Mytilus edulis: one gene and its partner. The protein of the gene in region 1 purifies or fractionates together with the protein of each later gene. This does not show direct contact. Links are inferred from orthologs where the notes say so. Each region holds a gene or a part of one and is shown on either strand. Other genes may lie near its edges.

Region 1 (7,675 bases):
CAAATATCCTTCCGACTGTTTCCAAGATTTTCACATTGTTATAGGCCATAAGTACTCCATCTGTCCTATTAATAGAAGGTTACACAATGTAAATATATGTATGAAGTATTGATCTATGTTTGCTATTTTAAACTCTAAGAATGATAATTGAAACATTTTAAAGAAATTATCAGACAATTAAAGCATCATTGATAAATGTCTTTAAATGTTTAACAAGTTTTACTACTTTTTTTTTTTACATCTGTAAAACATACTGAGGAGGGTTAGGTGAAACCATCATTCTTTTTTGCATTGCCTAACTCGAAAATGTTATAATGTGATCTATAGTTGTTCACCTTATGTCATTTGGACTATTATATTGAATTGTGTCTTTGGCAATCATATCACATCATTTTAATTTAATACATGTATGTACATGTTGTAGTATTACTAACACAACATCTATACCAGGGGCGGATCCAGCCATTTTAAAAAAGGGGGGTCCCCAACCCAGGACAAAGGGGGTTCCAACTATATGTCCCCATTCAAATGCATTGATCAGCCAAAAAAAAGGTGGGTTCTACTCTGTTGCATTTTGTATGTGCCTGTCCTTAGTCATGTTCATGAGTCTGTACTTTTTAATAACTCAGTGGTTGTTATTTGTTGCCGTTTTCAATATTTGGTTAATTTACATGAATGTTGTCGGTTCTTGTTTGATTCTTTTTACATTTGTCATTAGTGCCTTTTAGCTATAAGATATTGGCCATGTTTTTGTCATTGTTAAAGGCCATACAGAACCTTTAGTTGCTTTCTTCCTTATCATTTAATCTCTGGTAAAAACGTGGCAATTGTACCACATGTTCTAATTGACTGAAAAAACTAAAATTGTTGCCACTTAAATTCATTACCGGTATTAGCGAAAGAAATAGGACAATATAACTTCATCCATCTTGTTTACTTTTTACAGGATTCTCGGATGTCACTTTACCTAATCAAACAATATTCAAAATTCACCTTGAATTTGTCATGAGTTTAAAAAAAAATCAATTATCAGCTGTTATTGTTTAATTTTATTTTTTCTGTGCACTTATGCAATGTAATCTAATAATTGGGGACAAAAGTGTATTAATTCAAATGGACATCTAAGTCCCATATTACAGTAGAAAAATCAATAATTTTTTTTTTTAAATCAGAACTCAAAAGCGTTAACTTTTTTTAATTCACACATCTGCGCAGAAATTAAAATTCTTCTTCCTTTTTTCGGTCTCGTTTTCGTGGGACTTTGAGTAAAATATATTTTTCAGTCAAGTAAAATATAGGAAGGAACTCAATACCAATTTCATTTTTAATAGTTCTTTGATATGAAAAAACGTTACCTGATGATTTCATATCTTTGTTTACATTGAGTATGAGGTCAAATAATGTTACAACTAAAATCCAAATCAACAGAACAAAAATCAGAAAAGTCAAGGTATTTCCGTTTCTTTTTTTTAAACAGATTTTAAAGTTAAACATGTTAAAATTATGTTTGAATTGAAAAAAAATCATAGACTTCATCCCCTTTCACAGGTAATGCCTGCCTCAAATTAGTTAAAGTTGTGACTGAGTTCGGAAATACGAAGAAAGATTTACCATGTTTCTGGGACTATCATACTAACAGGACTGGAAACCATTACACCAATCAGAATATCTAAATCACAGTCGTTAGAACGAGACTTTACCTGCGCTATTTATGGATACGCCATATTGATTTGATAGTGAAAGCGTGCCTTGATCTTATAATTTCTGAAATTATTTTTTTTATTTTATAGTTATTAGAAATGATAATCCTTAATATAATAAAATTGAGAATGGAAATGGGGAATGTGCCAAAGAGACAACAACCCGACCATAGAAAAAAACAACAGCTGAAGGTCACCAACAGGTCTTCAATGTAGCGAGAAATTCCCGCACCTGGAGGCGTCCTTCAACTGGCCCCTAAACAAATATATACTAGTTCAGTGATAATGAATGCCATACTAATTTCCAACTTGTACACAAGAAACTAAAATTAAAATAATACAAGACTAACAAAGGACAGAGGCTCCTGACTTGGGACAGGCGCAAAAATGCGGCAGGGTTAAACATGTTTGTGAGATCTCAACCCTCCCTCTATACCTCTAGCCAATGTAGAAAAGTAAACGCATAACAATACGCACATTAAAATTCAGTTCAAGAGAAGTCCGAGTCTGATGTCAGAAGATGTAACCAAAGAAAATAAACAAAATGACAATAATACATAAATAACAACAGACTACTAGCAGTTAACTGACATGCCAGCTCCAGACTTCAATTAAACTGACTGAAAGATTATGATTTCATCATATGAACATCAGGCACAATCCTTCCCGTTAGGGGTTTAGTATCATACGATCATAACATATATGAGAAGAACATAACCCGTGTCATGCCAACAACTTGATTACTATAATGATAAAAGTTACCTCGATCTTTAACAGTTGTTATTAATCACTAAATCCGCCTTAAGTGTAAGAAATAACAAAAAGATTGAAATTTTCAGGATGAAAATGACGTGGGAACGATGTGGAAAAAAGGAGATGATTAATTAAATTTCTTATAACTTTTGATTGAAAAGAGATACCCAAGTTGGGTTTGTTGTGAAATCATATTCATAGGTTATAGTTTGGATTTGCCTATTTTTATTGTCGTTTTAAAGTGACAAGTGGAAAAATATCTCTTTCTCATTACAACCGGAACCCACATGCACGGCTTAAATAAATTTTACTGTTCCTACAAAATTGCCTACTCCTTTTTAAGTGTGCAATATTTTATTATAATCAGGGTTAATTTTGCTTAGTAATGGTCTTCAGGTGGCATTAAGCATATGACTTCGTGAAAATAGACTAGGTTCCACAATTACAACTACAAAAGTAGGCCCGATGATGCACAGCCATATTGAAATTTTGGTGTAAACACGAAGTTCACAAAAGTTTAAAACAATGTGGCTATATTTTCATGAGACCAGGGTAACTTTTGTTATATGAATTAATTAGGAATTGAAATTGTCAACATTGTTTTTATTGCACACATATTGTTTTCATCAGGATTATTTATGATCTGACAACCTTTGACACGTTGTTATCTTAGCGGTCAAGTAAAGTGCTGCATTTCGACTATATCTGGTTTATCATGTTTATTTTCAACATTACTATATTGACTACTTCTTAATATTTTTTCGTAAACAATATCTGGTTTTTGCATTAAACTAATTAGCTTATTACAGGGTATGAAATTAGCAGAGGCCCACAGGCCAATGGCCCCTCTAATTTAGTGTGGGCTGCTTAAATTTCTGCTTTTCTTGTAAATTAGACTATATTTGGGCTACAAACTTTAAGCTGTGGGCTACAATTGCCAAAGTCTTAAGTTCTATCCCTGTTTAATAATTATTCTTTATTTCAAGTCCACCAATTTTAACTGTTTTTCTATATATATGCTGACTTGTTTGCCGAAATCTATTGTTTACATGTACCGAATGCTAATTTACTACATGACACAATACGCTGTCAACCAAAACAAAAATCAATAATCCGCTATTGGGGCAATGAAATCTCAACAGATTGTTCAGTTTGCAGACCCTTAAGTACGGTATAATAAATTTATAATACACCTTATCGCTATTTGTCCGCCATTACTGCATATCACACAGGTTCATGTAAAATTTTGACGTCATAAAACAATATATCTGACGCAACAATGGAAAAGTGATTGATGTATGCTCAAAAGTTCAAGCGGCCGGGTCAGCTGGGATTAGCAATAAGATGTATAGTCCCAGCCATGTTTACATTCGTAATTTGGACTCTGTAAATTCTTTCCCATTTTTACAGTCTCAATTTTTAAGGTAAAAACAAGTTGTAACTGTAGAAAATTTCATTGCAAAAAATAAAAGTGGTCCACAGAAAATTTTCAAAAAAAGGGGGGAGGTATTCAAACCACTTCGAGTTCTTACCAGCTTGCAACTAACTGCAGTTCTGAGTTGAGATGTTCTCTCACTCCTTGTAAAATACTGTTGAAAAACTTCGGGGGTAAAACAATATGTCGCTTAGATGAAACTGCTTCAAGATGGGAAAAAGAACACTTTGAAATTAGTGATTTTGCCTCGGAAAATGTCAATCGTGTATGTTCCATGGAAGCTGCCATTTTTTTTTCTAGAGTTCGCGAAAGTGTGTGACAAAATTTGGCTTTGTGAAAAATTGGTCAATGTTGAATATTTTTTTTGAGTTAAAAAAAACCCTAAGAATATTGATGTATAAATACTATTCTGAACTAATTAAAGTAAAATTATAAGTTAATCCAAGTTTATAGATGGCGCCACGAAACTTCCGGTTGACCGAAATATTTACCATTCAAATCCAGCGCTCATATGAGATAACTAAATATTTATATTGCATATATGTAAGTATGCTTTTGATTTGATCCCTACCAAATCACCACTTGAAACTGTTAGGATAAATTGCTTTGATATCCCCTTTTGTTTTTGCAGGTCCCCTTTTTTCTTACTTGTAAAGTTGCCAACTGTCATAATCTGATGTCAGTGATTCATAATATATGTTTACTGTCAGATCATGAAATGAAATAAACTCACAACATTTGCAAATAGCAATATATGTTGTATTTTCTCCTGGAGAGGTGTTGACCTGATTTGTTATCCGCCTTATCATACAGTCTATAGCCTATAGTCTATACACCTTATTGCTATACACCTTATCGCTATTTGTCCGCCATTGCTGGAAATCACACAGGTTCCCGTAAAATTTTGACGTCATAAAACAAAATGTCTGACGCCACAATGGAAAAGTGATTGTTGTTGACGTCAAAAGTTCAAGCGGACGGGTCAGCCGGGAATAGCGATAAGGTGTATTTGTCCACCATTACTGGACATCACAAAAGTTCTTGTAAATTTTTTACGTTATAATAGAAAATATCTGATGCCACAATGGAAATAGTTTGAGAGAGACAGATTCTCTGTTCAGTCGAGAATAGCAATAAGGTCTATTCCCAGCTGAACCGAAAATTTGTATTGCTTGAACAATTGACGTCATACAACAATTACTTTTCCATTGTGGCGTCAGATATTTTTATTATGATATAAAAAATTTACAGGAACCTGTGTGATGTCCAGTAATGGCTGACAAATAATTATGACATCTTGAAAGGCTATTATACTTTTTCGCTTTCACGCCTTGCACGTTGTGCATTCTCATTGCTTTGCTGGGTTAGACATGGGGGATTCAAATGAATCTGAAGGAGAGAAGTTTTTTTTAGTTTTAACATTTTGAGCCTTAGGCGCTGTTCCCTTGTTTCGCCTCAAGCTAAGCAATTAAAATTCCTGAGGTTTAAATGATAGAGATAAAAGCAATTATAGTTAACTTATAACCCTACAGTCTACAGTAATGAAAAAAAAAAAAACTCATACTTTATATTCATGAAAGGCCTAGACATAACGATACATAGAGAATAATACATGGCAAAATCTGTATCATATGTCGTATCATCCCGAGACATCAATATCAGCCCAAGGGCCTTTAGGCCCGAGGGATGATATTGGTCGAGGGTGATACGGCATGTGATACGGATTTTGCCATGTATTATACGCTTTATCATATGTTTCAACAGAATAGTATTATATTATATGAACTGTTTTCTGATCCATAGCACTGGGTTACCTTCAGTTCTACTTTTGTCTTGTTTCAAAGGCTTTCAAAAGTACTGCTCAATTACTTATCCGAAGCACCTGGGCTACCTTACAATTTGCGTGCTGTTGTTTAAAAAAAAAATGTTTATTATTGTATTTATTTGTGTGTTTTGTATTTTTTATAGTTGCAATTAGTGTGCCAAAAAATATGAAAACTTGACGTTCGTGACGTCAAATACAATATGAAAACTTGACGTTCTTGACGTCAAATACAATATGAAAACTTGACGTTCGTGACGTCACATACCAAACAATGACGTCATTCAAAAAATTGACCTATTTTGAGGAAAATTTTTCTTAAGCAAAAAAAAACAAACAAAACTGACTTTACATGCTTCATATAAAAAAAAAAAAAAAAAAAAAAAGTAGGGGTGTGATAAAGGGTAGAGGTGTGATAAAGGGTATGCGATAAAGGGTATGCGATAAAGGGTGCGCATCAGAGTTGCGCGATATGGATTAAACAGCAGGCTATTTATCAAATATGCAAAACTACTGTATTTACTACTTAACATATGATAAAAACAATAAAACTTTAAATTATAATAATATTAATGTGTACATGGTATACTGTACAATTTATGAAAAACAAATAATTTGAAATATGAACCAACAACAACCACTGAATTTAGGACTCAAACCTTGAGACAGTATAAACATAAATAATGTGGTGAGGTTAAACATGTTTGTGAGCACACAACCCTGCCCATGCCTGGTGTTGCATCACAACATCAGAACAAACTGTAAAAAATATTTTACTTAATAAATCAATATGAAGCACAAATAAACTGTAAAAGCACCTAGCATTGAAATACATGTACCCTCCCTGATTTCATGTTCTGGAATATGTCAGTCTTATTGACATATTGATTATTAATCACAGAGTTGTGTCATTGAAATCTTAATATTTACAAATTACGATAGAATCATATTAATTACATGTAAATATCAGTATATTCCTTCAAAGCAATATTTTTTTTCTAACATGTGTAAACATTCATGACATTGTATTTTCCAGGAGTATTATTAATCCATAATGGGAGATGACAGTGAATGGCTGAAACTTCCTGCTGAAGAAAAGTGCCAGCATAAGGTAAAATTAAACTTTACAAAGATATAGGTCATGTAGGTTATGCATGTTATATATACATATAAAATTTATGTTATCCCAAACTAAAACAAAAATTAGTGCACATTCAACAGAGTTAGAGTAACAACATCAAAAGCAATCTTAGAAAAGCATAACTTGGTCATGTTAGCAGGTTAGTGCAATGCCAGTCTGCACCAAATTCTTTTCCAACTACAAGTCAGATGACCAATATTCAGACAACTTTCTTATGTTTATAAACAAATATTTACAAATACTTACTATTAAAAATGATATTCAATTAGTCTTGGGACATCCATCTAGTGGTTAACACTAAATGGTGTAGACTGCAATGCCAAAACTATTAGTATCATTTTACCTTATGAAGGATTCAAACTGGCTTGGACCTGAGTTACCTACCAATTGGGATTGAAAGGGAAGTGTAAATGGAAGCTTTAGTGTTACAGGAGGAAATTAACTTATTTGTTTTTGTATTATAGACATGGAAAGCACGTCTAGCAGGATATGAAGAAGTTACAAAGATATTTAGCCAACAGACTGATCCCAAGTCTCCTGAATTCCAGCGCTATGCTGGCCTTATGAAGAAGTTTGTCACTGATACCAATGCTGTGGCTCAAGAAAAAGCATTGGATGCTGTTCTAGCATTTGTAGAGAATGCTGCTGTAGCATCCAGGTTTGATCATTTTTGTATAACTACAAGATAATATTTAGTTTTATATCACCATTCTATGGTATCATGACATCTATGGATTTATTGTGATGTTTGATAGCTGTCTTGTTGACAAAGGCCCTAAATCTGAAATATCATAAATACTAGATTTCAGTTCAGAAATTATTTT
Region 2 (7,529 bases), on another chromosome or scaffold:
TTCTCTCACTGAATAATACAAAATTTGATGTCTTTGTTGAACGAATCTATCCCATCGAACTTGAGATAAAGAATACTACAGATACAGTTAAGTCTGCCTAATATCTTGACTTGCATTTAGAAATTGACAATGACGATCGGTTGAAAACAAAACTTTACGACAAAAGAGATGATTTCAGCTTCCCAATTGTGAACTTTCCATTTCTATGTAGCAACATTCCAGCAGCGCCTGCATACGGAGTATAAATCTCCCAATTGATACGATATTGCTGGCTTGTATTTCCTTTCATGATATCCTTGATTGAGGCTTGCTGCTCACAAGGAAGCTATTAAACCAAGAGTTCCAAATGGTGAAGTTGAAATCATCCCTTCTTAAATTATACGGACGCCATCAAGAATTGGTTGACCGTTATGGAATAACCGTTTCACAGCTGATATCGGATATGTTCCTTATGTCGCAATTACAATACCCTCCACTTTTTATGGTTGTGACCTACCGAATTAGACTTTTTATCGGATTTGTAATAACATTAGCAACACGACGGGTGCAGGATCTGCTTGCCCTTCCTGCGTACCTGAGATCATCCATAGTTTTTGGTGGTTTTCGTGTTGCTTAGTCTTTGGTTTTCTATGTTTTGTCTTCTGTGCTATTGTTTATCTGGGTTTTTCTATTTTTAGCCATGGTGTTGTCAGTTTGTTTTCGATCTGTGTGTTTGACTGTCCCTCTTATGTCTTTCTTCTCTCTTTTAGATTGTTTTCTGCTGTTGAATACTTGTCTCATTGGCATTCATACTAGTCTTAATCTTCGTATTTTATAAAGTGAATGGCATTATGCTTTCGAAAATGTACCCAGTATGCGTTTGATTTTAAAACAGCTTTTTTAATTGATGTTTAGGAAGTGACTCAACCTCCACAACTAATTATCGAATATTTTATCTAATACATGTATTTCAGATGTTTTTTTTTTATCACAGTGCTATCTACCGGGCATGACATCTATAATAAATATGGTCGGCATATCATATTCAGAAACGTCAAAACTGTCGGACGGTGTTTCGAGGTACGCAGAATTTTAAATCACTGAAATTGTGCATGTTTTATTGTGTTTCTTAAGATGTTTGTCATATCATTCTCCTCCATTATCTCCAGTTCGCCACATTGTGCCGTGTTTGAAATTTCTAAAAGAAAAAAATGCTGTTACTGGATTCTAGTATACACATTCTTCTACTGTTGCTGTTAATCAACATGTCAATGACATATAATATTTCTTCTAAGCAGAACCATACATGGACATTTTACAAGTATTACTCAAAACGTGTGGCTTGCCTGTCCTTTTTGCACATCATTGATCCGCACTTGCATTGACTAGACATGTACTGTAATAGGTCATTATTTTCGGGTTTTCGACCATGCAGTCATCGTATATTAAAAGAAATGTTCAAGAATTGGTATCGACTACAATGTCTCGTTAAAAACAAGGAAATAGGTCTTTAAAAAAAATGGGAGATCGTTATCAAAGGGCAATTTACTCTAATAAGTATAGTCAACTGATCATTTCGACCAGGCAAACTTATTTGTAGAACCTGTCTTGCTGGTCAATGTTACAGTTTAAAGTTTTTCTCTAACTATTATAGCTTTTAAAATTGTAGGCTAAAATGAAAACAGAATAATTAAATTTGTCAATTTAGGGTTATAACTTCTATATTTCGAAGTATTAGGATCAGTATTTTTCACATGCGTCAGTTTGTCGGATGCGTGGAAATAACTGTTAGTGTATGTAACAAACATTCGTACTAGCAGAAACATATCTTTTACTAAAGAAAGGCCAAAGTCGAAAGGTTCGGTATTATAGAAAACTTATCATTTATCAAAAACTTCGACGCCTTTAAAATCAGCACATGGTTTACAAAACTTTGATGGAAGTCAAATTTCGTGTTGATTTATTACATTTTAGAATAAATATTTGAAATCTCTCTCAAAAATATATCATTCAACAGAACGTGTCAAATGCTTAAGACACCGGCAAAAATGCTTAAATTTTAGTCTATGGAAAATTAAATATATATACGTTACTTTGACGTTCCATGCAAAAAACGTTCAATTTGGACGTGGTAACATTTTGGGGAGACATGGACAACTTGATGGAAATTGATGAAAAATTTAGCGTTTGCTTAACATTGAAGGCTTAGACCAATCATTAAAAAAATTACATTTCAGTAGTAACATTTGTTTTCATAGTTTAATTGTCTGTCACAAATTTAAAATACCCTAAACTAGCATGGTACTGAAAAATCTTAAACAATGGCTCTATGGTAACATTTAAGGGAGACACGGAAAAAATTGAAAAAAAAATAAAATGAGAGAAGCTAGTATGTTAGAAATAAATAAGTGTTCGTAAAATTCAATAAAATTACATTTGCGTGTAGAGGTGTCGAATCTTTTCTATGACTTATGTGAAAATATTGTAATATCGAAGTGCTTGCTTTCATTTTTGTATACTCGAATTTTCAAATCTTACAGCTTTATGGAATTTCGAAAATGGCCACTATAGAATGCGAACTGACATGATATTTATCGTAACCGTTCCACACCATGCATATGATCATATTATATCCCACCTGTTTGAATTTCATCGTAATCCATTCAATAGTTTTTGATTATTTTTTTTCGTTTATATTTGTATGGTAAGTTATTGTTGTTACGTCTTACACGGCAAAAATGGCATTATGAACACGGGACTTATTGCTAAATTATGTAATAATACATAAAATTAAATATTTTAAAATTAGGTTTTATTTAATATCGATTAAACTGATGAACCAAGACAAGTAATTATTTGATAATACGCATAATTGATTTGTTCCTGTCCTACTTATGCATCAAGAAATGGTCAAATGAAACATATAGACCGAATACCGTGCATAACGTCAATACGATACCTGATCTTTCACGATCAAGTTTGATGGAAATTAAACAAATTCAAGGTTTTCATAAAAATAAATTAACGCTTTTAATGGAAGAACATACTTTAATTTTACTGTACTATCAGATAAACCAAAGATTGAATTTCAAATATATCATGATATTCTGAAATATGACCATTATAGGTACAAAAAGCGTGTTATTGTAATTAATTTCATAGACACACATTGCGCCTTTTGTGTTTTTTCAAAAAGTACTTCATATTTTCTTTATCTGTTTTCACAGTTATTTTGAGGAAGTTAAACCATTTTGACAGACATATTTTTTTGTTCGGATTTGTTCCGCGTTTTGAAAATTAAGCGATTTTTTTCAAAGATTCTGAATTAGAATGTACATTAAATGTCTTTCACGATCCGTTACCAGAACTTTCACGATCGTCTCTCAATACTAGACTGCCAATTCATTCACCTTTTGTTTAAAAATAATCAGTGACATATTATAGTAGATACACGTCTCTGGTTTAGTTTACCGTGGCTTATATCATATCTATATGCTTATATAAACTTGAACGTAACCTTGATAAAATTGAAAATTTATGTTTTTACCTAAGAATAAAATTCTGATACCTAAATGGTTGTTGGAGTTCGTAGACTCAGTCTACGGGAAATGCCAATCGAGAAATCCGTTTCTTATGTGGAGTAGCGATATTTTCTTGTGTACATAAGAAATCTGAGAAGACTGTTGACATTCGGAAGGAATTTTTAACATATAGACGTATTCAGAAGGATAAAGTACATACATGAGGTTTGAACATTTTATCCCAAGTGTGTTGTACATAAGCAAAATTAATATGCATTTGCTTTTCATCATGGAGTGTCTGCATATATATTTTTAAAATTTCGTATCAGAAAATATCTCGACTCTATATAAGAAACGGGTTTCTCGATTCGCACTTTCTATAGAATGATACTTCATACAAAAAAGTAATAAAAGATGAATACACGGCTATAATTAGCAATTCATAGCCTTCAGATTGTGTTTCAGATCGATTTATGACATTTATAGAACTCATACAGACTCATTATACAACTTGCTAAATTTTCAGTCTATAGGTCGGTTTATTCATTATTCTTTGGGACGATATTTCGCAAAAATAATTCCTAACCGGATCATTTTTAATCGATAATTAATACTAATCAAGAGATCAAAGGATTGCGCACCTGCCAATGATTCATAATGAATCTAGTGATCGCACAGCAATCTATGAGTGAAAATGTAAACGGAAGTTACCATTTGCGCATGCGTGTTTAAACTAAACACAAAATGGCTTCCAAGATATGAAGTGTGTCCCAACTGTGTTCAATTTTGTATTTTACAAAGTCATTTGACTATAAAACTAATGTCCAATAACCATGGATAGCGGAGATTCATCGATAGACCCAGAAGCGGAAGTTCGCAAACTCCAAGATCTAGTCAAAAAGCTTGAAAAGCAAAATGAAGTGCTTCGTTCTAGACAAAAAAACAATTCAGAAAACGTACAGAACGGTGAAATTGAACATGGGAAATTGACTTTACATCATAATAACAATATTCCCGACACCTTAAATCTAAAGAATCAACCTGCTGAATCAGGCGATGATTCTGAATTGGTTGATATCGAAAATCTTTCAATGAAAGATGAAGAAGACAGTTGGTAAGGCAAATGTATAAGAAATTATTCATCATCCTGCAGTCCTGTCATATGTTTTCATTGTGACATGTTTTTTTTTCTTTCTATATTTGAAACAACAGCACTACAACTGTACAAAAGTAGCATTACAAGTTCTGGAAATCTCTAAATTTGGTAAGGTTAATGAATTCGGTAACGGTTACCGAATTCATTTACTGAACCATTAACGAATTAGGCATTTATAAATACGGTAAAAATGGCATGCTGGGAACAACTTCATACAGAACTATAGACAAATTTAAAGAATTATGCCTGGTAAAATTAAAATCTATCTACAGGTTGATGAAAATCGATGTCAAACATTCAAAATCCTTCTCATTTTTGTCTCGCATAAAGGAGTCAAAAATCGAGACATAGGTATGCTGTTTTCGGTGGTGGCGGCGTCAACAATGTATTAGTTAGTGATTAGGTCTAGTTTATGGTGAACCACTAGTGGTACATGTACAATGTAGGTCAAAGATATTTGGTATGCAGTTGTATAAGCAGTGCTCTAGCTAGAATTCAAAAGGGGCAGGGTGCCAGGGGAGGGCAGGGCACTTTTTTATGATAGGAGAAGGCACTGCTCATTTTTTTTTCTACGTCCCTGCGTGTATCACGAGTTCACATATTTTTTTACTGTATATATTGTTAATAAAGATGCATTTATAAAGTTGTTGTTTTGATTATTTATTCTATAAAATTTGCATAAGAAAAGTCATTCATACTATATCATGTTCATAATACATGGCAATACACATTCATACTATTAACCAAAAGAGGCAAAATAAACTTACTATTCTCCCCACCCCCTCTGCTTCCAAAAGAAAGAACATAAACTAAACATCTCATAGTTTACCATACATGTACATGACAGAGAAGTTGTATTTCAAAATGTCATCTAGAGCTTGGCCCTCAAAACCTGTTTTTATTGTTCGTGTATAAGAATATCTTATTTAGTATAGCTTCATCAAGTTGATTTGTGATGAGAGTATTACTGCACACTTGCATTTTAGTAACATGACAGGTTGGACATCATTCAAACAAAATAATAGTTCATATTTCTATATTGAGAATAAATAAAACATGGATTGCCAAAAGTATGATTATCAAAAATAAATTGCAATATATTTTTTTTTGTATGTTCAAAGACAGTTAATATCCTTAAGGTAACATTCTTATATAATTTTGTATTCAATTGGTTATTTTTTCCTATTTTTAATACTAGATAATATTTTAGGGGCACAATTTTGTAATAAGCATTTTCAGGGGAAATAACTCCAAAATTAATTTCCATGTTTACGTCTGCTTGTCGCTCACAAGTTGAGATGTACGATGTTTCTGTGTCAGAAGGCATAGTTTTATTTTGATTACTTCAATTCAATTCTAAATTCATGAAAGTCTTCATTCGCACACACTTTCATTGTGACTTGAAGATCGAAAGAAAATGCCGACACATTCATCATATTTATGACAAAAAGGTACATTGTCGTAATTAAATTACCTAGTAATTAACACCTTTAATTGAAGTCTTATCCACAATAATTAATTGTAATAACATGATAAACCTCATTACCTGGGGGCAATCTCCAGGTGTCATATTTGTAATTCAACTTCTGATAAGAAATCGATGAAACAAAGGCAATTTTACCAAAACGGCACAAGGGTTTTTTTTTTAAAACGGCGTCAGGGCAGAAGGGCGCGACTGAGGGCACACAGGGCGCGGCTGAGGGCACCCAGGGCGCGGCGCCCTTCTATTTTGGGCTAACGAGACCACTGATAAGTATTGGCACATCTCATCACCATGGAAATTATGTGGCCCCGCCCCCTCAGTTATGGTCTATTGACTTTGAAATTTTATTTGTTTTTCATGTATTAGTTTGTGATTAGGGCACTTTAGGAACCACTAGTGGTAGGTAAATGATAATTGGTATGCAGTTGCATAAGCATTGGCATATCTCATTTCCATGGAGAATCGGATTGTTTGGCCCTGCACCCTCTGTCATGGTCCAATGACTTTAAAAATTTTGGTTAGTTTTCATGTTTTAGTTTGTGATTAGGTCAGTTTATGGAGAACCACTAGTGGTAGGTCAATGATATTTCAGTGTTCTCCCCAGGCCGTTTTAGCTCTGCCATTATCAGCGCTATCACAATTTCCCACTATTCTATTGCACTGACCGCAGTGCTATCTAACTCAAGCGCGTTGCTATATTTTTTTCGTAATTATCATAATTTTTCAAATTTCCCGCTTATTTTTCACTTCAGATCACATGATCAACTCGTTTTCTATTTCTAAATGAATTATTTCCATTGTATTAAGTAACACCGTGGAACCAGTCTAATAAATTTTACAAAATGGTGACTTTGAAAGATGAAAATAAACAAAGATTTCAACATTGACATCTATTGTTTTAATTTAAAGAATAAATCATTGTAAATAGAGGCATATACAAATGTATGAATGAAATGCGATAAAATAAATTGACTGCATTTTCCGACGACACTCAAAATTTTGTTTAGCGAACTTTGAGAACAAACAATGATTTTAAAAGCGATTTAAACACAGGGTTTTATTACCATTTCAAGCATTTGCCGGGCTTACCATAGCTATCCATACGAACACCGAAGAAGCTTTGAAGTATTAATTATAACCTTTTCGAACTAATAATAGGTAAGGCAGCAATTCTACAGTAATGAATTTTACCATTTGAAAACAATTGAGAGGATATGATTAGAAAAACAAACCCCAAGCTGATACAACTTGAGAAATTCACTTTCTCGATGTCCAGTTTGGATGAAGCCATTTGAATATTATATACAGTGTTCCAGCTAGGTTTTCAAAAGGGCAGGGTGCCAATCCTGAAAAAGGGCATTTAACGCGCGATATGATAATATGAAAAGGG

What was found.
Region 2: the proteins of cytoskeleton-associated protein 5-A-like (region 1) and SLAIN motif-containing protein 2-like purify together in Homo sapiens (affinity purification with mass spectrometry; 4 studies listed by BioGRID and IntAct, counting the BioPlex papers as one, with this or other methods). This does not show direct contact. The link is inferred for Mytilus edulis from reciprocal best matches to the Homo sapiens genes CKAP5 and SLAIN2.

What each region holds. Positions count from the first base shown.
Region 1 is NC_092350.1:28,387,789-28,395,463, reverse strand, and holds the start of cytoskeleton-associated protein 5-A-like, read left to right. Parts: upstream 1-4,305; 5' UTR 4,306-4,431; intron 4,432-6,746; 5' UTR 6,747-6,764; coding exon 6,765-6,821; intron 6,822-7,315; coding exon 7,316-7,509; intron 7,510-7,675. Other genes in the region: DNA-directed RNA polymerase I subunit RPA43-like, read right to left, coding at 1-65, 3,986-4,176. UniProt on the Homo sapiens protein: Binds to the plus end of microtubules and regulates microtubule dynamics and microtubule organization. Acts as a processive microtubule polymerase. Promotes cytoplasmic microtubule nucleation and elongation. Plays a major role in organizing spindle poles.
Region 2 is NC_092351.1:65,362,522-65,370,050, forward strand, and holds the start of SLAIN motif-containing protein 2-like, read left to right. Parts: upstream 1-4,218; 5' UTR 4,219-4,333; coding exon 4,334-4,614; intron 4,615-7,529.